4 linked regions of the Oryzias latipes genome follow. The protein of the gene in region 1 interacts with the protein of each later gene in a biochemical or structural test. Links are inferred from orthologs where the notes say so. Each region holds a gene or a part of one and is shown in the gene's direction. Other genes may lie near its edges.

Region 1 (7,236 bases):
GACGATGGCGTTGTGTGAAAAGTAGAAAGGCCCCTCAGAAGTTCAACGCCGTCCTCGCAGATGGTCGTAACCAAATCCAAGCAACAGTGGCGTGAAGCAGACCGCGCGACTGTGGATGCGAGTGGTGGGATGACTGATCGCTTTGAAGTGTCAATCGGCCTGAATGTGGGAGGGGCTACAGATGAAGCCATTTTTGGTTTTCCAGAGGAGCTGTGGATCCAACAATTCCACATGAGACGCTTAACGTTTGATCATCCGTGTGACGCTGTGGGACCTCTGGTGGCGCCCGCTGCGCAGCGCCCCCGCCCGCCAGTTCCTACCAAGAAGAGCATCGCCATCCGGTTGGTGGTCACGGACTCGTTTAATTAGGAGAAAATCTTTCCATTGCAGTTTTGGGAAACATTTGAAATGCCTCAAAAACCACTTTCTCCAAGCGCAAAAACCTTTTTGAGATAAGTGTGAGGTTTTTTTCTTGTTTCTTTTCGGCAAATTTGTTATCGCAAATCCAATTGCGCATTTTCAGAGGCAATGGAAACGCAGCTACTGCTGTGCTTTTTAAACGCTGCCGCTCGATGAACAAATGGAGGAGAAATGCAGGCCTGTAGGTGAAGCTGCAGTGACTTTTTTTTATTTGTAGCAGTCTGGGTGAATTCTGCTGGTGTCTGTAATAGCAAACTACTCCGTATCACATTAATAATCGTGGCGGCGGCCACATTTTCAGACCATTTTGCTCATAAACCAACCATCTTTTGCAGAAAACCTTATTTTCTGTTTTTTCATCCAAACTGAACTCCACTGGAGGATCACAACCGTCATTCTCCGTCTAAAGGATTCCCAGAGCTTGTTCGCTACTTTAAATTTTAAATCGTTCTGATCTAAAGCAGGAATATTTCTTTTTACCGTTTCGTTTCCCTCCAAAAGTCTCTTCATTCATTTGCTCTGGGTCTAAACATCTGCACGTGTTTATCTGCCTGTCAGCAAGCTGGACGGTTGCCATGGAGACCGGCCTCCATCCAGGCTGCCTTTAGGAAGGTGACATGCAGTCAGGCGGGTGTTGCTGCCGCGTGCACGTGTTCACTGTCACGCTCTTCCAGCACGACCTGAAGTACGACGTGGGCGGAGGGGAGAAGTTCGACTCCCTCACGGACCTGGTGGAGCACTACAAGAAGAACCCCATGGTGGAAACGCTGGGCACCGTGCTGCAGCTCAAACAGGTCTGGGAGTCTCACGCCGCCCCCCCCGAGGGGTTTCCGTGGAAACAATAGAATAAACAGCTGGATTGGTTCCACGTGAGAGAAGCTTGGGTTTATGTCTGCGTTAATGCAGAGTGTTTGTCCTTTTCCTGCCTCCGTTTGTTTAAAGAAAAACATTCAAATTCAACAAAAAAAACCTATAAACTTTAGAAAGTAGATGTATTTACATTTAAATGGATGGAAAGAAGGCATTCCTGCACACCTTCCCTGTGGCGGGACATTTGGTTTGCATGTTAACACCGTGTGTCGACATGGATCAGAGGATTCTTTCCTGTCGTTGACACTCGTCTGAAGAAACCAGCCAATTATCTTTCAAATAAATATATAAAAGTCTGTAAACACCAAGTTTCTGTTCACCGTTTGCATGAAACATGTCTATAATCTCTTCCTGTCTGTTCCGTAATGTCTTCATGTTCTAATGTGGCGCCGTCTTGACCTTCAGGAGCGACCTTTGCACTAAATGTTTTCTGCTGTGGTCTGCAGCCGCTCAACACGACGCGCATCAACGCAGCGGAGATCGAAAGCCGCGTCCGTGAGCTCAGCAAGCTGGCCGAGGCCACGGACAAGGTGAAGCAGGGCTTCTGGGAGGAGTTTGAGGTGAGTGGTCTGAGAAAGAGGAGCAACCTGCTTTTACTCTGAAGGCACAGGGAGCGTGCTTTTACTCTGAAATCCCACCGTAACCTCAGCGGCGGCAGCAGCACGTTTAACGGTCAGAATCATGAAGGATCTTTCTGATGTGCTTGATGAGTGTTTGTACTGGAACTCAAAAGACATTCCTCCAACGTTTAGGCTGAATCTGAATTCATCCCCTACCCCGACATTTATCCCTCCAAGACGGTTATGGAAAATCCGGACATGACTACCACTCCATGACATCATCAACGGTCGCCGGTCTCCCCCGCTGGCGTGTAGCTGCCATAATACAGTGGTTTATAACTTTAAAACGTTGTCATGGAAGCCAATACTTACATTTAGTCATGAACCTCTGTGCTTCAGAGCACACCCGCCTAAAGAAAAGCCTTTTTCCTGGCGTGCCAGCGAGACGCGGACCCCCCCCACCGGCAGAGGAATACCCAGCCGTGGGTCACTGCGGCTCCTCCTCAAAGAAACACTTTCAGACACCCCTACAGCTCCAAACGTCCCTGCAATGTCAGCAGTCTGGGGAGCCAGAGGGGAAGTCCTCATCATGTCAGAAGACTTTTATTTTGAAAGCAGATGGAGCCGGTTTCCTGTGTTTTTTTCCAGAAGTTCAGCTTCAATCACCTGAAGAAGAAGAAGTGTAGTTTTGGCTTTAGGGGCAGCAGTCTTTGTGTTATTCTAACAGATCAATAACCATGAGGAGTGATTGCTGTGCAGAAATGTCACTTCATCATTTTCTGAATTTACTTTTAAAAAAAACAAAGTATTTGGGAAAAAACTACACTCAAAAAAGGGATTCAAACCCTCTTTCATGTAACAACACAAGTAAATGCCGTTTGTTTTATTTAAATATATTTATTTTAAAAATATGTATCTATATTTAATTGACCTAACATAAAATGTATTAATAGTTTCACCTATAAACTCCAGTATTGAATAAATAAATTCATAATTAGGGGGCATGCTGTGCACATGTGCAGACTGCACCTTCTGCAAAATCATTTCTTCTGTGATTCTATTCTTTAATTGGTTGGATGCTGTTTTCCTCTTTCTCTTTATTTATTCTTCTTATAGTATCTTCCGCCGTTTTACGGCTACAATTTTTCACCTATTTTAACCATTCAACTATTAAAACGTTCAGCTCTTTCGTCTAATGCCTGCCATGACTTTTGGTCCTTCAAATCCTTTGAACTTTTGTTCGTGTTTTTCCACGTAAAAAAGGTACTGTGGCTTGGAATGGATTCAACTGGGTTTCTCCCAGTAAGATCAAAGACGACAAACCTCATTTATGTAGAAAATGATTCTGTCTTTATAGTGTTGGATGCCTGAGGCCACAGGAGAGTCGGCTCAGTGGATCAGTCTGTCTGCATGTGGAGGTTCTACCTTCCAGAATAGTGTCACACCATGTTTTTTGCTTTGTCTTCTTGATAAAATTGAGTTCGACTAACTCGATTATATTTCATTACATGGAGGAATTTTTTTGATTTGGTGCGACTCATATTTATTGGATGGAAATCCTGCCCACAATTAAATTGAGTTCATCCAATTTTTTTGAGTGTATAGACGTGTACAGATATTTGGAATAACGTCCTCAATAAACTACAGTTGTTGAAAAAGCGGCTATGATGAATAAAATAGAATAATAGAATTTGTGTTTACATGAACGTGCAGCTTCACGTTTGTGTCGGCGTTTTCTGCCAAACGCCGCTAAAGCTGTGTCCAGAAGCAGATCTGAACCTGGAGTTTCCTCTTTTCTCTGCATGCAGACGTTGCAGCAGCAGGAGTGTAAACTGCTGTACAGCCGCAAAGAGGGACAGAGGGCGGAGAACAAGAACAAGAACCGCTACAAGAACATCCTGCCCTGTGAGAGCCCCCGGCGCCGCCGCCACTCCAGGCCGCTCGACCCCGCCCTCTTCTCATCTGCCGTTTGTGTTTGCAGTCGACCACACGCGGGTGGTGCTGAACGACGGGGACCCCAACGAGCCCGGCTCGGACTACATCAACGCCAACATCATCATGGTGAGCCTCCCTCTCGCCGTCCGGCTCTGCGGGTCCGTTTGCGCTCGGGTTTGTGCAGCTTCTGGTTCTGCCGGTTTGCAGCCGGAGCTGGACGCCAAGTGCAACAGCCACAAGCTGAAGAAGAGCTACATCGCCACTCAGGGCTGCCTGCAGAACACCATCAGTGACTTCTGGAGGATGGTGTTTCAGGAGAACTCGCGGGTCATCGTCATGACAACCAAAGAGGTGGAACGAGGAAAGGTGAGGGCCGCCGACAAGTCTTCCATACATTTATCGCTTCTTTTTAGCAAAATCTTTTGGAGGCTTTCAGCTTTTTTTGACCAATGTGATCTGACCGTTTTCCTTTCTTCCCCTTTGAATTCCTTTGTGGAATATATCAATATATATAAGTATAATATCTATATAAAACTGAGCATATACAGTACATTCACAGCTTCTCATTCAGTGTGTCCAAACTTTTGGTCTGTACCGTAAATATGCTTTTTTCATTCTAAAAACTCCTTTTTGTATTAAACTTCTTTCTAATCATTGAAGGGTTTTAGATAATCTGAGTTTGTTTGACTGAATCCAAACAAATGTCTGACTCCAGGGGCCTGTTTCAGAAAGGAGGTTAAGTGTAAACTCTGAGTGCGTTAACCCTGAAATCAGGGAAACCCTGGGTTTTCCGTTTCAGAATGGGAGGTTTGTTAAACCAGAGAAAGCAGAGTAAGTCAAACCCGTTTCTGAAAGAGAGGTAACTTTTACTCGGAGTCAGTATCCATGGTTACTTATGCTGTGAACCTAACCTGGTCGGGAGCAGGTTTTATTCTCTAAACTCAAGGTTTCTGCCGGTCCCCTCCCCTTTTTAAAGACGAAGCGGTATTTTTCGCTTTAACCTTCATTGTCCACATGTCCGTCACACAGAGACGGTCTAAGTGACAAGAATGGCTTGTTCTTTTTTGGAGGACCCAATAGACGAGGAGGCTGCATTAATTCATAGAGAATTACATTTACCTCGTACGAGGATTTTGAGAAGACTCGATTTTTTTTTCATTTTTAGCTGCTGCCATGTTCTTTTAATTCCTGCAGGATTGCATCTACATGAAAATGAAATCAGGGACATTGAATTAGATTAATGTAACAATTACTTTTTGGAAACACAATTTGCTAGCACTGCTTACTTTCTTAATCCCATATAAACCTATACCACTTGATCAATACAAGGGTAGTGTTGCAGTGTGTGTGTGCTGAGCGGGGTGCGATCCACGAGAGACAAGGGGAGGGGCGAGTGCAGGTGCAGATGGGGGGGGGGGGGGGTGAGCACGGAGCGGAGCGGAGGTGTGTGCGTGGTATATATTGTGTGTTCGGAGGACGGAGCACTTAGTTAAATAAAGAGAAGGTGTCATTCCCAGAATAACTGTTTTGGAGTCATTCTTAATCCGCTCTGGAGGTTGAGGGTTTCCAACGGGAAGTGAACCCCGAAGGAGAATTCCCTTCAGCCCTGAAGGAAATCTCCCCTGCGCTTCTGACCACGGTCGGTCGGAAAGACGAGAGAAAAGAAAATAGAAGTCTTCGCGCAGCGAAAGGTTCAACAGTAGACAAAAGTTCACTTTTAAAAACACACAAAAAAAAAAATTGCATGTATTAATATTAAACTGACCAACGTTTGCAAGAGGGGAAGGTTAACAAAAAAGTCCTCTAAACATTACCGACGTTAAATGCATCCCCCCCCCCCAGATTGGTTCTGTACACTATGCAGCATTTCATGCATTTACACCAGGAATAACACTTCAAAAGTAAACCTAAATATCGCCATTTTTTATTTCACTCCTTACGCTATTTAGAAAGTTATTACAGCCAATATTTTATAACAATGATTTAAATGCAAACTTAGGCATTAACTTGAGCAGCTATGTTTCCCACGCTAACTGTCTCTGTTTTGCAGATGCAGCGGTGTTGCTTTTCTTCTGGAATATGTGCTCATATTCACTGTAACTCTGCAGCAGCACGTCAAGTTCAGCTGGAGAAAAATACGCAAACCTCTTTTTTTCACGGTTGCCATGGTGACTCATGATATCTGCGCTCCATTGATAATGGCTTCTTATAGTCGCGGTGCGCACGCTTAACTCTGAATCAGTCCACTCAGAGGTGATTGACCTAACTCCGATCAGCTTCTCTGAAACAGAAAACTCAGAGTTGTTAATCTCCCGATTGACCAACTCAGAGTTCAAGTTTATCCTCAGAGTTGGTCGAACCTCCTTTCTGAAACAGGCCCCAGGACTGTTTCCTCTCTAATCTGCCTCAATCTGGGTTTGTCTGACGTCCCTCTGCTTCTCTTCCTCGCCGCTCAGAAGCGAGCAGAGAGAATAACTGTGTGTCTCTGACAGAGTAAGTGTGTGAAGTACTGGCCCGACATGTCGGCGCTGAAAGAGTACGGCGCCATGCGGGTCCGCAACGTGAGGGAGACGTCCGCGCACGACTACATCCTTCGAGAGCTCAAACTCTCCAAAGTGGGGCAGGTGAGCGGCTCGGACGGAATTCGCCGCCACCGTCTTCCCAGAAACCCTCATCGGGATTGACGCTTTTTTCAGGGAAACACGGAACGCACGGTGTGGCAGTACCACTTCAGGGCCTGGCCGGACCACGGGGTCCCCACCGACCCGGGCGGAGTCCTGGACTTCCTAGAGGAGGTCAACCTGAAGCAGGAGAGCATCGCGGACGCCGGGCCCATCGTGGTCCACTGCAGGTAACGGCAGCGGCGGCGCCGGACGGCCGACGCACGGCAGCAGCCGCTCAGCCGCTCTGCTTCTGTCCTCAGCGCGGGGATCGGTCGGACCGGAACCTTCATCGTCATCGACATCCTGATAGACGTGATCCGAGAAAAAGGTGAGTCCTGCAGATCCTCCAGAACCCGGACCGGGCTGAAGAACGTTCTGCACGTCTGCAGTAAAACAGTAAAACCAACCAGCACAGGCTGGACTCTGCTCTACTCTACTCTACTCTGCTCTGCTCTGCTCTGCTCTGCTCTGCCCTGCTCTACTCTACTCTACTCTACTCTACTCTACTCTGCTCTACTGTACTCTACTCTACTCTACTCTGCTCTACTTTACTCTACTGTACTGTACTCTATTTTACTCTACTCTGCTCTGCTTTGCTCTACTTTACTCTACTGTACTGTACTCTATTTTACTCTACTCTACTCTGCTCTGCTCTACTTTACTGTACTGTACTCTATTTTACTCTACTCTGCTCTGCTCTACTTTACTCTACTGTACTGTACTGTACTCTATTTTACTGTACTCTACTCTGCTCTGCTCTGCTCTACTTTACTCTACTGTGCTGTACT
Region 2 (7,748 bases), on another chromosome or scaffold:
CATCAGGGTTTCTGTCAGCGCTTAAACTATGGTTGATCTCCGTGGTCTTGTCAGGATGTATGATTAGGCTCATGTCAGTCTTTGTCAGAGCTTATCTTTGGGTCCATGTTTTTTCTCACATTAGCTTTCATGTCAGCAGGAAAAGAAGCAATACTATATTTATCAGAGAACCTTCCAGTCCTTGTCCAACTAATTTGTCTCTTACATGTACCATTAGGAGGAGGGGCTCTGTGTCAGTAACAGCCATGCCTAACGTGCTGCTCTGCCCCCCTCCCCCCAGGGTCAGTACTCTTACCTTCATCACTGTGTTCGAGATGTCCTGAGAGCCCGGAAGCTGCGCAATGAGCAGGACTGCCTCCATACCCCCCTGAGAATATAAATCCAGAGGTGAGTCAGCCAGTCACCACACTGCAGTTCCCGTTTGACCATCACCTCAGCTGACAAGCATACATTATTATGTCCCACAGATGGTGAGGCAGCCCACCTGCTGAGACGCTGCAGAGAAAAACCTTCATATTTTTATTTTCATATGCACACATGTTCATGTGTTTTTGTCTGCACTAAACCTTTCACTTATTTATGTTCCCTGTGAAAAAGTGGCAATGCGTTACTTTCCTGTGTGACTGCACTCACTTCAGTCAGCATAAAGTACTTTCTTTCAGCACTGTCCTGTGTAGGTGTGTGTATTCGTGTGGGTGTGTGGGTGTGTGAGGGTGCGCACTTCGGTGTGATTGTAATACAAACAATAGTGTCTGAAGCTCAATAAATACACAGCACGTGAACAGATGCTTGACCATTTTAATTATTCATTTGGAATAAGTCAAGATAACTGCAGCAACACAAAACTGCAGAAGAATCCAAAACTATAGCAACACAGTGAAAAAGTAAGCAATAGAAATCAACACCAAAACATACACAAAATTGCATTAACACAAAACTATAGCAACACAAGCATGAAACTTCAGCAACAAAATCATAAAACTGCAACAGCACAATCACAAAACTGTAACAAAACAAATCAATAGCAAGACAAACACAAAACTAAAGCAGCACAATCATAAGCTACAACAACACAAACAAAACTGAGTATAACAATTATAAAACTATAATAGCACATGAAACTGCCACAAAACAGATCAATAGCAAGAAAAACACAAAACTAAAGCAGCACAACCATAAGCTACAACACAAAAACAAAAGTACAGGGGGGTATTCCAGAAAGCAGGTTATGCTAGTTACCACGGTAAGTTTGAGGCTAAGGAAGTTGATAACCTCAGCTTTCGGCCCCAAAAATGGAGGTATGTTTCAGGGTATGTCAAGTTCCCATAGCAACTCATGCTCTGAACATAACCTGGTCTGGAGCAGGTTTAGTTGAAGGTTAGTTTGTTTTCAGAGAGGTGAAGCAGCATGGCGTGTCCATTTGAAGATGATTTAGTGGATGAAGAAGCTCAGATAATACTTTTTCCACCATGAAAGGGTGATAAGACCACATATAGATGTTGGAAAATTAAACTTTTTACTTTGATCTAACTTAATTATTTGCTTCAGTTAAGATAAATCATTTTTTTAGTTAAGTCATCTTAAAAATAACGTGTAGTTTTCGGACATTTATTTTACTTTCATTCAAATTAATTCAATTAAGTAGGTGGACCTTGGTGCTGCTGTTAGATCAGCACTGCAGGGGATTGTGGGATACCATTCCTTTTGCCTGTCTGGACGGATTTTGGTTTAAGTGTGGGTTTTTGACCAAATGTGTTTAGTTGTTTAGCTGTTTTACTGTGTTTTACCGAGTTATTTTTCCTGTTATGTTTAATTCTTTCTGTACCATGAGTGAGAGGGAGGAAGAGGAGGATGATGAGTTTATTTTGCACCCCTAGTGCTGCTTTAAGACACAGAAACTGTGAAAAGTATATATATATATATATATATATATATATATTAACTTTTTTTTTTGCTGATGATGCAGTCACATTACTTTTTTGATGGTCGCATAATCTTCATACGCCGTCATTAAAATCTCTGACTGCGTGTCACTGAAGTATAGCGCTCTCTTTTTTTCTCCACACGTTTCCATGGTGACTCCGGAAATCTGCGATCCATTGAGAATGTCTTTATGTAGTGGCTGTGCACGTGCATTAACCCAGGGTTACCAAGTGGAGCGTAATTAATCTTTTGGAACCGACATACCCAGAGTAAAGGCCCGTACACACCGGGACGAATATTCACCAGGCATTAATCGCCAGCGTTTTTCAACACGTCTTTTGTGTTCACACCCAGGCGATTTTCGCTGACGATGAGCCGAGCGAACATGCAATTTCATTCCCTGACATTAGATGGCGCTTAATGTAAACAGAAATACTCCTGTACACAAGGTGGCGCTGCGCAACTTTATGCTTCTTAAAGTCGCTTTTCACTCAGAAGAAGAGAGCAAGTATTTACACGCTTGTCAGAATCATTCAAAGAAAACATGAATATTTCAAGCACCAGTTGCTCCAACTGGTGCTTGGTTCGGGGATATTTTAGAATGTCCGTCATTATTTCTTCGCGGCTGTGTAGATGCAACTCTGCGTCTATCTTCTTCGCTGGTAGGTGTGCTCAGCAAGGCAGTTTTGTGTTTGAGCGCCCCCAAGTTGTGTTTTACTGTCACTTCAGAAGCTCCAGACACGTGTGCAGAAGCGGCATTCTCATTGGTCGAATAGATTTCGACGCGACGCGTCAAAAAAAAAAACGAACCCGAGGCGTTTTTTAAAAAGTGACGCTTTGACGCGTGGCATTTTTTCGCATCGGTGTGCACACTCACATTGGTGCCCTTTGTTTAGTCACGAGGCGTTAAACGTCTGCGAATATCGCGGGCGAAATTCGTCCCGGTGTGTACGGGCCTTTAAGCAAGTTCAGGCGGATTTCAGCCAAAGTTCAGGGTTAAAGTCAGGGTAAATAGTGACTTCTGGAATGCCCCCCAGGAAGTCAATCATAAAACTACACCAACAGCTTCACAAAACTGCACAAACACTAATCACTAAAGAAGCACAATCATAAAACTACAGCAAGCCTACAACAACAGAAAACTGCAACAACACAATAATGACTCAACAAAAACACAGAACTGCAACAACACACAACTTTAAATAATGTAACAGTATTGTAATATTCTACAAAGTGGTAGAAAACACAAACAGAAAAACAAAACGCACAGAAGGCACAACAAAAACAATGCAAAAACAACACAGCATCACTGAAATCGGACATTACATTAACATGACGTTGCTGCAACAATCTTTAAAAATGTGTCTCTACTAAAGCTAAAGAAGAGCAGACGTCAGCAGTGGACCTTCTACAAGACCACAACGCCCAAAGGTAAGTGAAGGATTGTTCCTGAATATTGTCCTGTTCTCACTGTTACTGTAATTCAACACGAGTCTGTGTTGTTGTGTTTCTCTCTAGGTTATTTTCCCCCTAACCCAAACGGAATTGTTTGGATGTTAATAGTGATTGTGTTATTCTGTCAGGATTTTGTTGTGCTTTCGTTTGTGCGGCTGGCTCTGAGGCCCCCACATTCCCGGAGCTCTTGGACGGCGCATGCGCCGTGGCGCCGTTGCTGTATCGGAAGTTAGGCTCGCAGTGATTTAGCTCATGAGACGGCTAGCATTTTAGGTTTTGCCCGGGCGCTTAAAACCACATTTTAGTCCCATAAAAGTACATTTTGACGGAGGGAGGGTGCCCACAGTGAAACGCCGTGGACTGCCCATGGACTGGGGGTGTTCTAGGCACTGCGGCTCGTGGGGACGGACGCGTTAGACGCGTGTGAAAGAAGTTGTGATTGTTTTTTGGCGCTCCGGAGGAACATGGAGGATTTTCTGCTGTAGCAGCGGCTAACGCTAGCTGCCTGCCGTCACCACCCAACAGAAACGAGCTGCTCGTCCGCTTGCTGAAAGCCCCCCCAAATCTTGATGCTGGACGTCACCGCGCTTACGGAACCAGGTAAGTTCTGCCGGGTGAGTCGACAACTTTGTTGCCGCGGGGGAGCCCTGGGGGGCTAATGAGCTGAAATCTGAGTTAGCTTATTGAAGCAGCACGGAGGAGCTTAGCTCGCTGCTAATTAGCTGCTCTGGACCCGCATCTATCTGCCACTCAAAGACCAGTTGGAGCAGCTGACCAATCTCTACACACGAACCAGCAGCAGATGGTTCTGGCTCGGGTCTTGGATAGGGGAGGATAGGGGATTGGGGTTGGGAGGCGCGGACACAGGCTTCACGGTTTGTTTGGATGCGCTGACTAAATTCTGGAGTAAGCCCCAGGAAGCGGAGGACTTCACGGACACACGGCACGCACACGCCTACGCGTGTCACGGCTAAAGTATTCAGTCTGACAGTCAGAATCTGAGGCCGTCGGACTCGGAGTTTAGTTTTTGTAGCTGTCAGACCCCCTCCAGGTCTTCGGAAACCGGCTGAAGTAGTTTGACAGACGATCAGACCAACCTGATCACACAGTGTGGCTGGATTGATCACTAGGGCTGGAATGATTGGTCTACTTCATCGATGAATCCATATATGCCTCTAGGATCCAACCAGATTGATCTGTTAGAGGCAAGTTTTTAATCGAATTAAATCGTCCCCCAATTCTTATAGAATCGTTTAAAAAAGAATTCCATCAATATAATGTAAAATCCATCAAGTGCATCACAGCGGACAACATGCATGTGATAAACTGATCAGTCCATCATTCCAGTCCAATGTGTGGACAGACTTTGAATAAAGTCATGTGACCATCCAGTGTCTAGAATGTTCTAAGAATGTTCCCTTTGGATTCTTTGGATGTGGAAAAACAACAGTGGTGAACTTTAGGAAACTAACATGTGAATGGATTTGACATTCATTCTAGTTTACTTGTTTGTTTGGACACAGATTTCATTGTTTCAATCTGGAAAACCTCACCTTCACTGTTCTGTACCAGGAATTTCTCTGAGTCTCACTGGTTGAAGTTTTGGATTAAGATGATCTGGATCCACTTTAGGTCAAAGAATCTGATCGATCAAGATGAATCATATCAGCAACTACAAATTATGATATGAATTGAATCGCTGAAATGAATCCTTACACCCCTAGTGATAACTGCTGAAGAGGGTCCAAACCTTTTAATCAGGCAAACGGAGCACTTGTTTAACCCCCCACCACACACGCACACACACACATACACACACACTCACACACACAGGCCCGAAGGGTGGTCACCTGAGCAGGTCCTCCCTACCTGAAGAACATTTTGTCGAACCGCCACCTCACTATCAACATTCAGAGAGGATGGAGATTGAAGTCTTTGGGAGCTTGATCTGAATCACACGATGCTGCTTTCCTAGTCAGACACATTTTCTCCAGCTTTAGGTTAAAACGTAGCTCGGACTCAGTTCTTGCTCGCTTTGGAGAAAATAATCTATGGTTAAAAGTACCAACCCAGCTGCTGTCTGCTCCCAGTGCATAGATGTGTGCTGGACCACTGCTGCAGAAGTTGAAAATGTAATTTTGAGGGGGTACACTGTGTATCTGCATCCCTCACACACATGTATGTTATACCTGTACATACATGCCTCAAGTCGTTCCACTTCCTGCCTGGGTTGATTAGGGTGGGACTCAAACATACAAACATGAGAGGAGCCGTGCGGCATCTGTTTATTCACCAGAAGCAAATGTAATATTTTCTTTATTTGGAAGTGAGTCTGTTAGTTAAACTATGAGGTTAGTTTCGTCATACAGCGCCACTTCACACTTGTCTAAAAGACATGCACTAAAAGCAAGAAACATTAAATTGTACTGAACTGTGATTGTTACTATCGCTATTGATCAGGGATGCTAAAATTCTCAATGCTGTAACCGTACTTTACACCATTGAACCCAAACGTTGAGAAAGTGAATCGCGGCATCCCTACTGCATACCTGTATGTTTGCTTTGAAAGCGTCAAACCCACGTGTAAGAAGCAGTTATTATTTTAGGACATGACACCAGGCTTTGGTTTTCTGCATTTTTACTCGCTTTTTAGCTAATAAAAAAGGTTTCCTGTTTTTTTCCTTTTTGTTGTTTTGTAAAAAAAAAAAAAAAAAAAAAAAGCAATCATGTATCGAACTGAAACACATCACCGGAACCCCAAAATGGAGGTTTTAATGGAGTTGTGGTGAAAGTGAACTGTTATATCCTACTACTGATCATTCCATTAAGACCATTCCAGCCTTAGTGAGCAACAGATGACACCATTTAATGCAATCCCTTACTGAACAGGTGGATTTAGCCTTTTTTATTGCAATGAGGATTTAATCATTTTTTTGACTTAAAAAGCAAATGGAAATTCCAGCAGCTCAGAAGTATGCAGACGTAATCCCTGTGAAGTTTGACTCTGTAGTTCTCTTACAGCACAGCTCTGACTTGTCTGTCATTGTTTTGAAGGAGCTCTGAAGCATGCGAGTCCCTCAGGCTCTCAGGATGGAGGCACAGCTTTCGGAGGCAGCATTTAGGTGAGTCCACACCTGTACAGGGCCAGCATGGCTCCTGTGCCTGTTCTTCACTGCTGCTGGTTTTCTTCCAGATGTCACATGGTGCTCTGAAGAAGCCATGGGTGGCTGCTTAAGCTGTCCAGAGAAAGAGTCTATTCCAGATAATCATCAGAGTAAATTCAAGGTGAGCATTTCCTTCCTGCTCATGTCTTTTCCCTGACTGAACTGTTGTGGAGTCCGCTCTTATTAGTTAGCAGTCAGGGTAGGGGTGTGGCTTATGTCAGTGTTCTAGTTTTTCTGCAGACATGTTTGTGCATTATCCAGCTGTGATGTCACAGAACCAAAGAAGGACCTCTGAACTCCTGAGACATTCAATGTTGGATGCTCATGTTTCTGGGCACCTTTGTAAGGTGGTTTTGTGTTGCAGCAGCCAGACACAATGATGAGCTTAAACTTGCTCTGAGTTTGGTCATGTGACACACATAAAGTGAAGGGGCATCCCTGACTGCTGTAAATGTGCGTCCTTTGTCAGGTGATCAACGTAGACGATGATGGGAACGAGCTGGGATCAGGCGTGATGGAGCTGACCGACGCTGAGCTCGTCCTCCACACCCATCGGCGTGATGACGTAAGGTGGCCTTACCTGTGCCTTCGCCGATACGGCTATGACTCCAACCTGTTCTCCTTCGAGAGCGGACGTCGTTGCCAGACTGGCCAAGGTATGCACATGTCTTTGACCTACAGCTGCAGGCGTGTCCTCCGTCAGCTGCAGAATGTTGACCCGTGACATGTTACAGTCTCAATATGTCTCTCAATCATGCTGTCAGGACCCTGGTGTCCTCTGGGGGCTTGGTGGGTGTGGTAAGTCTTGCTGTGGTCAGGTGACCCATGTTGAGTGTGTGTTACGGTTCTTCAGATCAGCCGATGTGTTGTTTTCGTGTGTGTGTGTGCGCGTGCGTGCTGAGGTGCTCCTCCTAAACTCTTGAGTCTTTGGGTCCTCAGACTATGGACTGTATACGAGAACTATGACCCCTCCCCCCTGGCGTTGCAAGCAGGAAGTACCAGCTGGTTCCAAGAAGCCATAGACTTCTATAGAGAAATAAACAGCTGTTAGTCATTCTATTGATCAGAAGAACCATTCTTGATCTAATACGTTTTTTAACATCTTCTCGATAATCCTTTATTTTTCCTTTATTGCAAGGTGTTCAAGTCATAAATTGACCAATCAGAGGCTTTAATAAAAGTATGTGGTGCCTGCTGGCCCCCACA
Region 3 (7,781 bases), on another chromosome or scaffold:
TGAAGTAAACCGGTGTGTAATGTATATTTTACAATGATTTTCACTGTTTCTAGACAAAAATCAAAAATCCTGTGTTGTTTTCCAGGACATAGTTTCTATGGAAGCGATTCTGTAGCATAATTAAAAATAAAAGTCAAAACCAGAAATACTTTTTCATTTTCAAAATAAAGCTGCATTTTTTGACTCAAAATTAAAATGAAAACGCAATCCGCCAAAATGTTTTTTTCATTTTCTTCTTTAACACCGCTTATTCTGTCACTTACCTGTAATTAAAATGACGTGGTATTTGACATTTCATTTTCAAAAAGTTATCTGTTGTAGCAAAATTCATTTAGAATTGTCTAATTTGACAATTAAAATGGGTTTAATAGAAATGCTTTTTCATTTTCAAAATGTAACTGAAACAAAAGACTCAAAATTAAAATGAAAATTTAATACTTCAAAATACTTTTTCATTTTCTACTTAAAACCGCTTATTCTGTGTCATAATTAAAATGAAAATGCAAAGAGGGGATTGCATTTTCATTTTAACATCCACCCTGTGAATAGTGTCGCAATATTCATTTCGAATAAGCATTTCCAGTGGGGAGGCGGGGCGATGACGTCAGTGTGTTCTCTGTGTGTGCGGCTGCTAACAGACACATGCTAGGAGCAGTGGAGCTTTGTGTTAGCGGCAGAGGAGAGGGCTGTGTGATGGTTGTGAACTCCTGATGATTGTAGACAGCTTCTCAGGACTACGTAGCAGCATTTCCCTGCACCCCCCCCCTCGGACCAGCAGCTGCCTTCGCATAGCGGAGCGCGAAACCCCGCTATCCGATCTCCCGTTCACCGAAGGCAGAAGTGCTGATATGATCTGAGAAACCATCATATGAATATGTGTTTCCAGTGGTGTCCAGAAAAAAATAAAGGATGATGTAATTCCCACATATTTACATCCAATATGCTCATTGCCCGCAAGGAGTTTTAAGTACCTCCACGGCTAATGTTTAAAGCACATATTAGCCTAATGCTAACTCGTCTTTCGGGTCCTCCAGCGAAGAAAAAAGCACTGACCGAACGGATTTAAAAAAATTGAGTGAGCAGGCCCTTAATAATAATCATAACAATAAAAGCACATTTAGAAGATAGATGGTTGGACCAACACACACTCAGCGTGAAGCTGAGTGTGTGTTGGTCCAACCAGCAAACGTTTAGCATGGTGAAATCTGCTATAGCTGTTGATGGGACTCCAGCTGTCATTGAACAGCAAAATCAGCGTGAAGCTGCAGGAGACTATCTTCTAAATGAGCTCCACTGCTCCTAGCATGTGTCTGTTAGCAGCCGGACACACGGATTTAGCACTGATGTCATCGCCCCGTCTCCCCTCTGGAAATGCTCTTTCGAAATGAATAATGCGACAATGTTTGCAGGGTGGATGCTAAAATGAAAATGCAATCCCCTCTTTGCATTTTCGTTTTTATTCTGACACAGAATAAGTTGTGTTGAAGATGGAAAGAAAAAACATTTTGGTGGATTGCTTTTTTATTTTCATTTTGAGTCAAAAATGCAGCTTCATTTTGAAAATGAAAAAGCATTTCTGGTTCTGACTTTTATTTTTAATTATTCTACAGAATCACTTCCATAAGTTTCTACAGAGCGGCATAAGTTCATTAAAAATTCAACTCTGAGCTGTGGGCTGGACTGTTGGTGTGGCGCATTTCTGCCTAATTTCCCGTCATCCATCCATGACACCCCCGACCTAACATCATCGATGCAACAAAAATGGTGAGCAATACTGGAGCTATCCATTCATACAGTTTAGATCCAGACTCCAGCTCAGACCAGGAAAACAAAGACGTACGTCTACAGGCTCAAAGGGTTGGAATGGGTACAATTGGATGCATCAGAATGGAGCAGAGCATGTTTGTGGCCCGCCCAACGTATTTTCTATGTAACAAATATGCTCTTTTTTTAAACTGCAATTTTTATTCTGTGTCCCTTATTCACAGTTATTTGAATTAAGAAATACTCAGTGATGCAATTTCAATATTAGTTTTATTTGTCCTCCATCATCAGAAAAATGCCACAAAACAACACCAAAAAATACACTGTTTATTGGAGTTGGTCTCTAAGTTCCACTCCATAGTGAGACTGTAGCATTGTTACAGGTATCAGGGCAAATTAACCCTTGTGCTATCTTAGATGACCCCACCCTTACATTGACCTGTTCTCCCTACCATGACAAAGGTGGATAAAGGTGGAAAGATTTCATGTAATCCATGGACACCAGTGAAGATCACAAATCATTGAAGAAAAAAGGTTCAGAGCACTGTCTAGTGGGTCTAGATGACCCAAATCCCAATGGTAACGTACCTAGGATAGCACATTAAAGGAGTAGACCTGCTGCGGCTGTTACCCTCATGGGCACTGACAGTAGAGTTTAGGGGTGGAGCAAAGGAATCCCAGTCACACAGAACAACCCAGCAGTAAGGCCCCAAGCCAAATTCTGCCACAGGTATCAATAATTATGCAGATATCAGTCTGCTTACAGAAGATAACATATTTTTTTAGAAACAGAAAAGATCATCTTAAAGGTACACTACAGCTACTTGTAATGAAATAAGTGCTCCGCATTTCACCCTGACTAATTATTGTGCACAAGAAGCCTATCAAAAAAGGGTAACACGTAGAAGAAAAAGACCATTCCATAAAATCCATACATTGCTTCTGTTCCACTGATGAGTGAGCTGCTGCCAAGAAGAGGTGAGAGGAAACTATCAGGGATGCCGGGTGCTTTACTTGAAGCTGACAAGAAAAGGAAAAGCATTGACACCTGCTCTCAAATGTTATTACTAATTCTGCATTTTCCCCCTCTTGATCTGTTTGCTTGTTTGTTTTCTTTTCTCTTGGAACAATCGATCGGTTTGGGACTCAGGTATGGCAGGTTTTCCCACTTCGACATTCAGTAATCCCATCTCACCCTCCTCCCTCTGAACAAGTGCCGTCTTATTCTGCCTTCATTCCTGAACGAAGCAGGGTTTTTTCCGTGCGTGTCACAGCAGCCCTTTGGTGTGAGATCACGTCCTTCTCTGCAGCCCAAGCGGCTGTTGTGCCGAGCGCGCACACGCAGGTGGCTGTGCAGACGCAGCGGAGCTTTCCCCTGCGCGCTCAGACTTTCCGCAGTTTTGTCTCACTCGGCGCCAAGGCAGCTCAGGGTTGATTTCATCATCAGGCGCGCGGTAGTCCGCGCTCACGCCTCCCACTTCGCTTCCCAGAGTGATCTGTGTTTGGACGGAGGACCCCATTTGCTCCTGAGGACAGAATGACAGGGGAGCGCACTGACGGAGACGCTGACGAGGTACAGTATGGCTCTCCCCTTTTAAATTAAATTATTTCCCCTTTTTGATATTTGCTTGTTGTTGTTTTATTCTGTTAAACTAGTTATTCTAGTATTTTTAGTTTCCTGCTGTGGCAAGCGCTGCGCTTTAGGAAAAAGCCAATTAACGCAACCAAATCCTGAGCTTTACGCGTCAGATTGCTCTGCTTCATCCAGGAAGAGACTTTAAAAGCGTTTAAAAGTTGGATTTTCAACCTCATTTTTCCACAAATGATCAAAATCATAAAAGCTTTGAGAGGATTCACTTTTACAACATATACTTGCATGTATGAATATTCATATTTTACAAATGTCACCTCTGGTAAAAAAAAAAAAAAAAAAAAAAAAAGATTAGTAGATGATATTCTGCTTGGATGGTGAGATGAAACACTGTTGCTTTTTCACAGAAAATGTTTTGAAGCGTTGCCATGCGTCCACATCCATGTGGAGCCAACTGTATGATAGGTCAGGACAGGAGCACTGTGTGGGTGGTGAGGACCCCTTGCGGCTGAGTGCAGGGGTGTGGTGCTGCGTGTTCAGTGCGCTTAAACCCATCCCTGTTCTCGAGGCAGGCCGGTGACTTGCACTGCAGTCTCGCTCCCTCTCGGCGCGCTGCGCACCACTCCGCCTCCACCACCTCCTCCTCTTCCTCACTTGTTTGCCTCCCTCGGATCTCCACAGGAGTTTCTGCAGTCGCCCTTCATCCGAAAGCAGGGGAACATATACAAGCCAAACAACAAAGACATGGACAACGACAGCGTAAACGAGAAGACGATGGATGATGTCCACACCAAAGAGATAGATCTAGTCAACCGGGACCCTAAACAAATAAACGACGACGTTGTCAAGGTGAGTCAGACCTGCTAATTTCGAACTTTTCAAGTTACTTTTAAAGTTGCAGCTGCAGAATCTTTCAAGACTTTTTGTGACAACAAAAAATAACAGTTGAGAGACTCCTGTGTCACAGACATTTCGGCCACTTTTTGCTTTTAAAGTCCAAGAATGTGATCAAAAACTGTCCAAGTGTTAAAATCTGGTTTGGTGTTTTCTGCGCCTGTGCGTCATCGTGCGCTCCCGGGGCTCAGACGCTGCTGCGCGCTGCCTCTCCAGAGCGGCCTCTTACTTTCTTTCCCCCTATTAGGAAGGAACTTTGCAGATGGAGTTGTGCTTTGCGCAGGCTGCACAGCCCATCTGCACGCACGGATTAAAAACGTGACCATCGGAACAAAGGAAACAGTACGAATTTCCTGTTTTTGGGACTCACGTTTCCCACAGTGGTTGCCTTGAAACCCTGAATTCTTTCCATAAGGGACATGCGCACAGAGGTTATGAGAGGGAGAGCTGGAAGCCACCTGAGGCGCTATGATACTGGAGGGGAGCGTCAGCTGTCTGTCACTCTCCACTCCAGCTGAGGCGGGCTTTCACATCAGAGCGGGGTCAAACAGCCCCCTGCATGAGAAGGATGGGTCAGGCCTCTGAAATGCCTGAACTGCGCTGTTAAAACAGGGAAACACCCAAGTAGCTGCTTAGTCAGAGGGGGATCCCTCACCACTCCCAGTGTTCTGATCTCCCCCCTTTCACCTGTCAGCATTCCAGCCAGAGGATTTAAATCTGAAGACATGTATGAATCGCTAAACCAACCGCCAAACTCATAAACAGTTCTTCCTCTCATGTTATTTCTGGAATTCCTCCACAAAATGATTCGATTTTATCAGATTCAGCTGATATTTCACTCCACGGGAACATTATCTGCAGTGTAACGTACAAATGTTGCCCCTTGGAAACACCCAGTCACTAGCATGAGACAAAGTGGGCACTAAATGCAGAAGTGAGTGAATTCAATAATGACCAACACATCCTTTCTTATTACACTGCACAGACTTGGCAAAGCGCTTAAGATTTCCTGTTTCTGTCTCTTCTTCACCGCTCTGCATCCTCCTGCTCTCAGTTGTGACGGTGAGTCAGACTCTCCCTGCGGTCAGGGCAGATTGAGGCTTTATGATCAAGTCAACTGACCGCCCTCAAAGTTAGTTTTCATCACATGGTCATGGACTGTAAACAAGAAACTTGTGTAATGAATTCCAGTTTCCATGATAACTTCTGAAAAGGTTTAAGCTATTCTTAAATCTGTGCTACGTTTAAGACCCACTCCATTGAAAATGGTGTTTTTGTTGTTTTTAACATGTTCTTGTGGTAATTTTCTGATGATGGAGGACTTATATAAAGAAAATGAAACTCAAAAACGCCATTTCTGAGTGTGTCTTTACTGAAATTGTTGTGATTCAGGAGCATAGAAAAAACTCTGAAAAAGATCGCATTGGTTGCATAGAAAATATGCTGGGTGTGCCACAAGCTCCCCGCTTTGCTCCATTCTGATGCATCCACTTGTAAACAGATCCATTAATGGTTTGTTTTTTCTGGTTTGAGCTGATATTTGGCTCAAAACTGCACGGCTGGATAGATGGCACAGATCAGAGTGGGTCTATAAGTAGAGCAGTCGTGTCTTTTCCGTTGATGGAAGCAGCTGGTTGGTATGAAAGAGCTAAATCCAGTCCGAACAGGGAATCCCTTCTGCGGTCATCCACTGTGTAATCAGCCACGCCGTCACACAGCTCCACACACATATGACAAGCAGCACACATCCTGAGTGCATGGATGCTTTGACTCATACATGTGAGAAAACCCACGGCTCTCTTGCAGCTGCAACCACAGCTGGCCTTAATCATCTGGCCACATGAAACAATGGATATTCCCTCTCAGAGCCTTTTTTATTCTTTCCCTTCCTTATGTTGTGGGCCTTTTTTATGTGCAGAGAGTGGAGGTCAAATGCCTGCACAGGACGTTTTTGAAGCTGCGTGGAGAAGCTTGAGTTCCAGCAGCAGACTCAGGTGTACCGAGGACAAACTAAAGAGGATGAACATCGTTTATTCATAGTGTTTGGTATAAACTTCACTTTTTAGCTTCAAACTTCCCTTTCCTTGGAGAATCATTCACATGGATGCCATTTAGTTTAACCCTTGTGCTATCCTAGGCACGTTAATATTGGGAGTTGGGTCATCATCTGGGGCGGCCGTGGTGCACAGTAGGGCGGTCGACCCATGAACATAAGATTGCAGGTTCGATTCCCGCCTTGCACGCCCATGTGTCGAAGTGTCCTTGGGCAAGACACTGAACCCCACCTTGCCTCTGGTGGGAGGTTGGTGCCAGTGTTTGGCAGCGGAGCCGCCATCAGTGGGTGAATGTGTGTGAATGTGTGTGTGCATGGGTGAATGGGACTGTGACTGTAAAGCGCTTTGGGCCTTCGTAAGAAGGTAGAAAGCGCTATATAAGTATACGCCATTTACCATTTACCATCTAGACCCACTAGACAGTGCTCTGAACCTTTTTTCTTCAATGATTTGTGATCTTCACTGGTGTCCATGGATTACATGAAATCTTTCCACCTTTATCCACCTTTGTCATGGTAGGGAGAACACGTCAATGTAAGGGGGGGGGTCATCTAAGATAGCACAAGGGATAAGAAAGGGGAGTGGACACATGAAAAAAAATCCAATTTTGCATATTGACCAATGTTTTCAATGCCGGTCATGTTAATTCGTATCTGTAACCAAACCGCAGACTCTCTTCCCCCGAAACTCCAGCAGAAGTCTGTTGATGCACCGCACTCTTCTGTCTTGTCAAGCATGTCTGACAGCCTGAAGATAAAACTCTGGAAATAGCACTTGGCCCTATTTACTCAATATTACGGTTGCTTTGCCAACTGGTCACATGTCGACCCCAAGACTGCATTGTTTCATATCAGGCCTCCCAATAGTCACCAGAGGTTCATACTGAGAATCAGCTGCTGATGGGATAAATGTGCTGCTGAGTGCAATCCAGAATGGATCCGAGGTCTGCAGGAAAAGCTTCAGGGACTTTTAGAAGTCTGTTTCAGTCAAATGATCCAACATTTTGGGCAAAGTGGGAGCTAGATTGAAAAAGATTGTTTTTTTGAAGTCATTATTAACAGAGTTGTAAAAAGCTTCATCTGCAGAACTGCATACAAACCCATTATGGTGTTTACTGCACGGGAAGTTGGTGTCCTCGGGTAACCTAGAGGATTTCCTCATTATGCTGCTCGGCATCACCAACCAACAGCGGCCCCTCATGGAGCTGTGTCGCTCTGCCTCTCCGGTGGGGCTGCTCTGAGGTGGAAAAAGGCTTTGGTTTCTGACAAAGACTGGAACCTGGAGCCACTTTTGGGTGGATCTGTGGAAAAACTGAAAGGGTGTCAGACTAGTTTGCACACTGAGTTTTGCCAGCTGTTGATCCAAGCAGCCACTTTAGCGCTGCTGTTTACTCTGACAGGAGCCTGGAGATCTCACACAGCTTTTCATAGAAATCAGCTTAGTGGCCCTGTGGGAGAGTGTCTGCCTGAGTCTGGGAC
Region 4 (7,923 bases), on another chromosome or scaffold:
TTTCATGGAAATGTGTCATTTGTTTTTTATAGACTGCAATGTTATCTGGCTACCAACTCAACTGAGGTTGTTTTCCTGTGAAAGCAGCTCATTGTTTTTTTAGCGTGACCTTCAAGAGGCTGAAGCTTCATAACAACCCCTCTGACCAAAGTTTTATATTGAAATTCTGTGATCGTGCAAGGATTTGAGTCAGTCCTAAATTATTATGGAGGTGGTTGAAGGCTGGTGATCATGAAGAACGTAGAGACCTCTGCACACTGTGTACCCTCGCTTCCCTTGAGTTGTTTATGCTGTAAACGTGCCCCCCCACCCCCACACATTTTTCGTGGTCTTTCTTTCACTTTTCCTTTGCCTACCATTACACTTTCTTTACTGCTTATCAGGTCTTGTCCATCCTTCCAGCATCATAGCAGCTGCATATTGCCCTGCATTTACAAAAAAAAAGCTCAGAAGTGACAGGTTGAACTTCTGCACTTCTACTACATAAAGAACCACAGAGGGCCTGATTGCTGAGTTCCTGGTGTTTCCTCTCTCAATGCAGAGCTTGTTCATCGTGATGTGGTGTGATAAGATTTTGAAACTGATTGGACTGACTTGTTTTTCTTCTTGACGTGGTTCGTCAAATCGCACGTAGACATTCCTTGGTCTGTCACAGCTTTGGGAATCTCGGAACTCATTTCATTCATTTGTATGTCAGTCTGCACTCAGCAGCTTCATTGCTGTGAATTTATGCTTTGAGATGTAGACTGGAGGTCAGTCTGCAATGAAATCTCACACCAAAGTTGTTCATGGCATGTTGGATGAAAGTGTTTGTCCCACAGTAGAAAAAATCTGTGTAGCATGGAAAGGTTTTCCTTTCAAATGTATTTTTTTCATTACATGAATAAAAAAAAGCAAATTAGATATATTAGAGACAGAAAAAAATATTTAAAGTTACAATAAACCCAAGTTAGTCTGAAGAAGAGCTGTATTTTTCCAATCATTGGGGTAATGCAGCATTTTAAGACGTTCCAGACATCTTTTATCCTGAAAGGAAATCAGTGAGGCATCAACTTGATCACTTTAATCAGTTAATATGTTTCAGGTATAAAAATGAGGAAAGAACTGAGTTTCCTGACCTAAACAAATCTTTGGAAACCTTATTATTACAGATAATTGTGTTACTTCTTTTTTAACCCTTGTTTTTAACCCTTAGATGACTCCACCCTTACTTTGATGTGTTATTCCTACCATGACAAATGTGGATAAAGGTGGAAAGATTTCATGTAATCCATGGACACCAGTGAGGTTCACAAATCATTGAAGAAAAAAGGTTCAGCACACTGTCTAGTGGGTCTAGATGACCCAACTCCCAATGGTAAAGTGCGTAGGATAGCACCAGGGTTACAGTACGAAATGATCCCTTCTACAAAATTGATTTCCATCACTGTGTCTGTGAACAAAAATATTTTTAGATCCCACTTCTGAAGAGATGCGATACCCAGAAAAGTCAACCATTCAGAAGACATGTGGCGTCAGTTGGGGCATCTTGTTACAGACGTGGGGATACTTGAGAGAGGAGCCACAACGATCAGTTTACATTACACTTGAGCCTTCTGAGACAATTAAAAGGTTCTTGCTTTTTACAGAAATATATTTGATGGTTGTGAAACAACACAGAGAAAAAAGTTGCAAAATGTTTTTTATTCATTTTTCTTTTAAAATTTAGACCAAATTTGATCTTCTTCCAATAATATCTGCGGTGGCGGCGTGGTGCAGAGGAAGAGCAGCTGATCTGAAGATTGTAGGTTCGTTTCCATCCGGCCCACATGTGTGGAAGTGTCCTTGGGCAAGACGCTGATCCCCACACTGCTCCTGGTGGTTACAGGTTGGCGCCATTGTGTGTGCATGGGTGAATGTGAATAAAGCACTATGGGCCTTAAGGGAAGGTAGAAAAGCACTATATAAGTATTTACCAGGAATGCAAAGATTCACTTTCTCCATGACTTGGTTCAATTTTTGGGTCACGTTTTTGTTTCCATTTCATATTTATTTTGAGTATTACAAAACAACAATAAAGCTAAAAAATATCTGAAAATCCCTCTTTTAAATTAGCTAATTAGCAAGAAAGAATGAAGAAAAATCTTTCAGTTGGCTTATACCAAAAACCATAAATACCATAAATAACACATCCTTCTAAAAGATAATGGCATGCTGTAGGGAAGCAAAGATGGCCGGAAAAGGGTCTGGCAGCTCCGTGACCCTGAAGTGGATTTTAGAAGAGGAATGAATGAATGAATGAATGAATGAATGAATGAATGAATGAATGAATGAATGAATGTGGCATCCCTACCAATTACTGAGGACTCTAGAAGTATCAAGAATCACTGTAATGTTAACTTCATGAATTGTTTACAGTGAAACTCTGGCGTTTATTTTGTAAGCAATATTTGACCTAACATGCGTGACGTTAAAAGGATAAAATGTTAACATTATATAAGTTGAAAAAATGTCACCCTAAATTAACCTCAAATACTTTTATTTTACATTTTGATGTCTTTTTGTATTGTTGGAATTGTCTTTTTGAACAATAGGGAAAAAAATACAAGCGAAAAAAAATACAAGCAGACAGTATAAAAACCCACAACAAAAAAATCTATATCACTTTTAAAAAGTGTAGCCTACACTGTGGCCCTTCAGCAGCAAACAGACATTTTAAAGTATTTAATGCTTTGGGAAAATATTAATGAGTTGATCCTCACAATTGTTTTATGGATCTGTCTGTTCATAAGACAATAAACGTCGTGTAAACTTGACCATTAACTGCTTGATATAGTGTTTTCAGGTTTTTCTTTATCTGTTATCATCCAGTTTCAGCATATCAGGACACAAAATTAACTGTAAACTGATTTTATATCATAGCACTGATAATATTCATTTGTAACGCAGCTGAATAACTGACCTAAGAGGGAAACGCCTGTACTTCCCAGGTTTCTGGTGTTTACTATAAACGCTGAGTTTTCGTCTCTCATCTCCTGAGCACGCGCTGCACTCTCGTATGCATGCGCTGTCCACGCGCTGACTCTGCGCTCTGATTGGCTAAAGCCGAGACAAACCTAGAGTTTCCGCCAATAGGAGCGCTGTGCATGCGCTGAGCCACACCGCGGAGGCGGTTCATCACGCGGGGCTCACGGAAAGAAAGAAAAATACAGCCGCCTCTGTTGTTTACAGCCTCAGACGACGAAAGCTTCAGTCGCACGAGCAAGCATTGTTCACAGCCTCAGCAGCCATGGTAGCCATGACGAAGAGACTGAAAACTTTTCAGATAGTCTTATCGGACCCGAGCAAGACTTTTTACTGCGGCGGGGAGAAGGTGTGCGGCCGCGTGGAGGTGGAGGTGAACGAGTTGACGCGGGTGTCTGCGGTGAAAGTCGTGGCTCTGGGCTGTGCCAAGGTGGAGTACGCTAAGGGGAAGCAGCGATGCCGACAGGAGGCCGAGTACCTGAGGCACGAGGAGGTCCTGAGCCTGCACGACCAGCCCAAAGGTAAGCCTCGTGCGCACTGGAACTGTTGGAAGTGCTGGAATTATTTTTGTCCTAGCTAAATAACACAATTACACGTTAAAAATATTAAGTAGTTAAATTATTTTTTCTTCCACTTTATAAATCTAAAGCTGTTTTTGTGGTTAAAGTGAGCTGCTTCTTTTTTTTTTAACTCTAGTCTATTTTAAAGTGAGTTTAATAAATTTGGATTCATGGGTGAAATATGACGCAGTGAGAATTTACAGGGGTTCATCAGTGAGGCAGGAATCAGAAACATCCGTGCTTGAACTTTGTCCCAGTTGGCTCTGTTTACATCATGTCCCACCTTCATTTTCATTTCCCACAGAGTTGCCCCCCCCCCCCCCCCCCTTACTCATGGTTTTTCTCCCCCCTCCCCAGATGCAGATGGCTCTGTCGTGCTGAGGCCTGGGAATAAATATGAGTACACTTTTGGATTCGACCTCCCCGACCAAGGGTAAGCCCCCTTTTTTTTAGTTCCTCATTCAGTCATGAAATGATTTGTGGTTCTAATCCTGTTTGTGTTTGCTCATAGGCAGCTGGTATCCTCTTACAAGGGGAAGTTTGGCTATGTTCAGTACTATGTGAAGGCTAAATTGGAGAGGCCGCTGCAGCCCACGCTTGAGTGCAAGAAATGCTTCGAGGTGGAGGAACCTCTGGATGTCAACACCCCAGATTTACTTGTGAGTAATCAGAACATCCATGGGTGTAGATGTTGGGATTCGCCGCCGTGCTAACCTTCTTTTTACCTCTTTTTGCTCTTCAGTCTCCCACAGGTGGCTCCAAGGAAAAGAAAGTAACCTGCATGTTCATTCCCGACGGCCAAGTGTCACTAAACGCCAAAATCGACAGGCGTGGTTTCTGTGAAGGCGAGGACATCTGCATCAACGCCAAGTTCGAGAACACCTGCTCACGCATCGTGGTTCCCAAAGCTGCCATCATTGCCAAACACACATATCAGGCCAACGGCCGCACCAAGGTCTTCAGGCAGAAGCTGTCATCAGTGCGTGGAAACCACATCATCTCTGGCATGTGTGACGCCTGGCAGGGGAAGACCATCAGGGTACCAAAGATCAAGCCATCCATGCTGAGCTGTAACATCATCCGTGTGGAGTATGCACTAATGGTGAGCCACCGATGGTGAAGTGTGCATGCCTGCGGAGCACCTGTGGCTCCTCCTGAGATAAACACGTGTTGATGGTCTGTTGTTTTCTTCTTCCAGATTTACGTCCACATTCCCGGCAGTGAGAAAGTGATCCTGGAGCTGCCTCTGGTCATCGGGACAGCCGGTCTCGGCAGCCGCAGCAACAGTGTGAGCAGCCAGGAGGGCTCCGTAAGCAACGCCTCCCAGAGCTGGGTGTCCCTGCAGATGCCCTCCAATCCCCCCAGCTACTCTGACATGACGCGGGACGTTCGGCTCGACCAGCCCCTCACGCCGCTGCTGTGTGACTGCGACGACATAGATGGCAGCCCCATTTTCATGAGGTCGCCCAGCTTCCAGTTCCCATCACCGCCTGTGTTTGCCGAGGTAAGGCGATCAACAGGGTTCTGCGCATTTCTGGCAGCTGCTGGGACGGTTCTGAAAGTTCTGGTTTTGCTTCGTGTTTTGCAGACCGAAGAAGAGTACAACGGAAACAACGTTTGCATGCTGCCAGTCTGCTGAATGCTGCAGCTGCGGGTCCAGTTCTCCAAGACCAATCATTGAATGCACTTCAACAAGAAGCTGGAGGTCCAAACTGGAGAGAACCTGCGATGATGATGTTTCTGCATATGCCTGTGCTTCATCCAGAGTTTCCCCCTGGTGTTCGGTTGGTCCTGAAGGTCTCCGTCTGCTGTTCCTCCCGTCTAAAGGCTCCATGGAGTAACCGGAGTCCGTTGGTGTTGCTGCTTCCTGTCGAACACTTTTTTTTTTTTACTCTTTGAGAAGGAGCCGTGTGTGAGTCAGGCTGTGACTCCTGGCTGGTTTGTTCATTCCAGTTATATCCAGTTTCTTCCAAAGAGGAGCTGTGGCTCTCAGCAGGCTCATCAGTTTGTTGGGAACAAACGTTTAGGATGATAAAGGAGCCTCCTTATTTCCACAGAGCATTATCTCAGCATGTTGTGTATGACTCCTTTTTCTTTTTTTTTTTGAATCGCACTTTTTAAAGTTATGCTCTGTTACTGCAAACAAACGTTTTTGGCTGTGTGTTACAAATGTAAAAAAATGTTTTTTTAATTTAAAAAGAAAAAAAGAGAAATCCCAAATTTGATTATATTCTGACTTTAATTCTTTTCAGCAGGTGTGATGCTGAAGCACCTTACAGAACTGCTGTATCTGTTCTGCAGTTGTCTCAGACAACATTTCAGTCAAATCTGCCCTCTTTCTTCACTTTAAAAGTTTGAAAAGTGTTTTAAGACTGAGTTGTAAGAAAGTATTTTTGTATGAACCCCATGGGTCAAATTTTATATAATAAACGCTTGAAAAGAAAAACCTGTCGATTGTTTCATCCATTAAACATGAACCCAACCTGATCTGGATGTCCCTGAAAACGGCATTGCAAAAGACAGAAAATTCCTTTTTTGCTGATAATAAAATCAAAAACCTCCCTTTTTAATTTGAAATGTTTCATTTTTTTTTAGTATTACCAATTATTACTTGACTTGGTTGTTTTGTGCTTCTTGTTTATGAAACTGCATTCTGGAGAGCAATGAAACTCAACCCAGACGCCCTTATCTCTAGCTCATAGTTGTGAAAAGACGTCAGCATGACGGAGCACAGAACAGCCCTCTGGCTGCACACCAGTCCACTTAATCACAGCTGGAACCTTAGCCAACTATTTCCTTCAAACACCTTATTTTTCTAGTTTACCTTTATTCTACATAGATTCCTTTACCCTTGTGCTATCTTAGATGACCCCATCCTTACATTGAAGGGTTCTCCCTACCATGATAAAGGTGGAAAGATTTCATGTAATCCATGGACACCAGTGAAGATCACAAATCATTGAAGAAAAAAGGTTCAGAGCACTGTCTAGTGGGTCTAGATGACCCAACTCCCAATGTTACAGTGCCTAGGATAGCACAAGGGTTACATTCAACTTTTGATATATTTTTTAATATTGTCTTGGGATATAGCCCATGGTAATACGTATTGCCAGACTCTTGCCAAAACACAGGCCAAGGAACAATTGACAATTTTGAACATCATACCTTCAACTGTCAGCTTCAGCTTCATCACCCTCTCTTACAGTCTTCTTATTCAGAAGATTCTTAGCAAACTTGTAGAATCCCTGGATGTCCACCCCTCTACTTTCCACCAAAGTTTAACTTGTCAAAGTTCCTCCTTTGCCTTTCCTCTCTTTGCCTACAAACATGTCCCGCTCCTCTCCTCTTCTGACCAATAGTTCTCCAATTTCCACCAACAACTTTAGAGGATGCTTCAAGAACCAGCATACTGCTGGGTCTTCAAAAACCCAGCCCCACCTGCTGCTGATTACATGGCAGATTGGCTGGAAACATGTAGGATACTGACCCTTGAGAACTGGAGTTGGACATGTGAGCTGGAGCTCATTAAACCAGCCCACGACTGAACCGGTGAGAAAAGTTGTTTAGGATTCACATGACTGATCCTCTGCATTGACCTGAACTTGGACCCGGCAGACAAAAGTGCTGAATTATGCCCCCTAGTGATTGAATTTGTGGGCCTGACGACAGGATGTTAAGAAATGTCTTTATGACTCAACAGCCCAGTAATTTAGGGGATTTCTTCTAACGCTTCAGAAACAGCAGCACATTCCAGATTTGGAAAAGAAAAAGACTATTCAAAAGGGACACAGGATGGGACTGTCTTCACTGAAATGCCAGAAGTAAGTAGTGCAGCTCAGATGACCAAAGCTCTGTTACCGTAAGAGGCACCAACAACACGGGTCAGACTAGAACTGGTACGTTTGACAGACAAAGCTTTGAATGTAGAAACTCTAGCAGAAATCATGCAAAGCATAGCAATTCTCAGCTAAGAAAAAAAAAGAATCATTTTGCGCTGGTTTCTTTATTTTGTTTCTGTGCAGATTCCAAATCATTTTAACAAACTAGGAGCCAGTGAAGGCTGTTAGCTCCAACTGCCAGTGGAATCTTGACAGACCCACTGGGTCAATTTGATGTGAGGTATGTTAAGTGTTAAGAGTATGTCAAGTGACTCAGAGAATCGGCAAAGCTTTTTTTACAGTTAGATCTTGAAGGCTAACAACATAATATTCTATTTTCCAATGATTTCATAGATTCAGAAATGCAATAAAAATGACAACTTTCTACAAATACAAGTTGAAAACAGTATTAGTTGGCCAATGATGCTTCATGAAATAAAATATTACTGTGATACAAGATAAACAGTCTGCTATGATTGTGT

The links.
Region 2: the proteins of ptpn11 (region 1) and frs2 interact in a test that uses a peptide from one of them, tested with the Homo sapiens proteins (2 studies listed by BioGRID, with this or other methods). The link is inferred for Oryzias latipes from reciprocal best matches to the Homo sapiens genes PTPN11 and FRS2.
Region 3: the proteins of ptpn11 (region 1) and caveolin-1 form a complex in vitro, tested with the Homo sapiens proteins (2 studies listed by BioGRID). The link is inferred for Oryzias latipes from reciprocal best matches to the Homo sapiens genes PTPN11 and CAV1.
Region 4: the proteins of ptpn11 (region 1) and txnip are reported together in a solved structure, tested with the Homo sapiens proteins (2 studies listed by BioGRID, with this or other methods). The link is inferred for Oryzias latipes from reciprocal best matches to the Homo sapiens genes PTPN11 and TXNIP.

What each region holds. Positions count from the first base shown.
Region 1 is NC_019870.2:1,409,917-1,417,152, reverse strand, and holds part of ptpn11 (tyrosine-protein phosphatase non-receptor type 11), read left to right. Parts: intron 1-1,094; coding exon 1,095-1,214; intron 1,215-1,736; coding exon 1,737-1,850; intron 1,851-3,658; coding exon 3,659-3,755; intron 3,756-3,831; coding exon 3,832-3,911; intron 3,912-3,992; coding exon 3,993-4,151; intron 4,152-6,277; coding exon 6,278-6,409; intron 6,410-6,481; coding exon 6,482-6,636; intron 6,637-6,708; coding exon 6,709-6,776; intron 6,777-7,236. UniProt on the Homo sapiens protein: Acts downstream of various receptor and cytoplasmic protein tyrosine kinases to participate in the signal transduction from the cell surface to the nucleus. Positively regulates MAPK signal transduction pathway. Dephosphorylates GAB1, ARHGAP35 and EGFR.
Region 2 is NC_019864.2:4,363,974-4,371,721, reverse strand, and holds the start of frs2 (fibroblast growth factor receptor substrate 2), read left to right. Parts: upstream 1-2,878; 5' UTR 2,879-3,978; intron 3,979-6,432; 5' UTR 6,433-6,500; intron 6,501-6,571; 5' UTR 6,572-6,597; coding exon 6,598-6,663; intron 6,664-7,011; coding exon 7,012-7,198; intron 7,199-7,306; coding exon of another isoform or gene 7,307-7,340; intron 7,341-7,748. Other genes in the region: receptor-type tyrosine-protein phosphatase beta, read left to right, coding at 281-379. UniProt on the Homo sapiens protein: Adapter protein that links activated FGR and NGF receptors to downstream signaling pathways.
Region 3 is NC_019864.2:2,996,087-3,003,867, forward strand, and holds the start of caveolin-1, read left to right. Parts: upstream 1-3,073; 5' UTR 3,074-3,301; coding exon 3,302-3,337; intron 3,338-4,036; coding exon 4,037-4,204; intron 4,205-7,781. UniProt on the Homo sapiens protein: May act as a scaffolding protein within caveolar membranes. Forms a stable heterooligomeric complex with CAV2 that targets to lipid rafts and drives caveolae formation. Mediates the recruitment of CAVIN proteins (CAVIN1/2/3/4) to the caveolae.
Region 4 is NC_019869.2:21,667,092-21,675,014, forward strand, and holds txnip (thioredoxin-interacting protein), read left to right. Parts: upstream 1-3,150; 5' UTR 3,151-3,268; coding exon 3,269-3,524; intron 3,525-3,920; coding exon 3,921-3,996; intron 3,997-4,074; coding exon 4,075-4,222; intron 4,223-4,305; coding exon 4,306-4,665; intron 4,666-4,761; coding exon 4,762-5,067; intron 5,068-5,151; coding exon 5,152-5,202; 3' UTR 5,203-6,009; downstream 6,010-7,923. UniProt on the Homo sapiens protein: May act as an oxidative stress mediator by inhibiting thioredoxin activity or by limiting its bioavailability.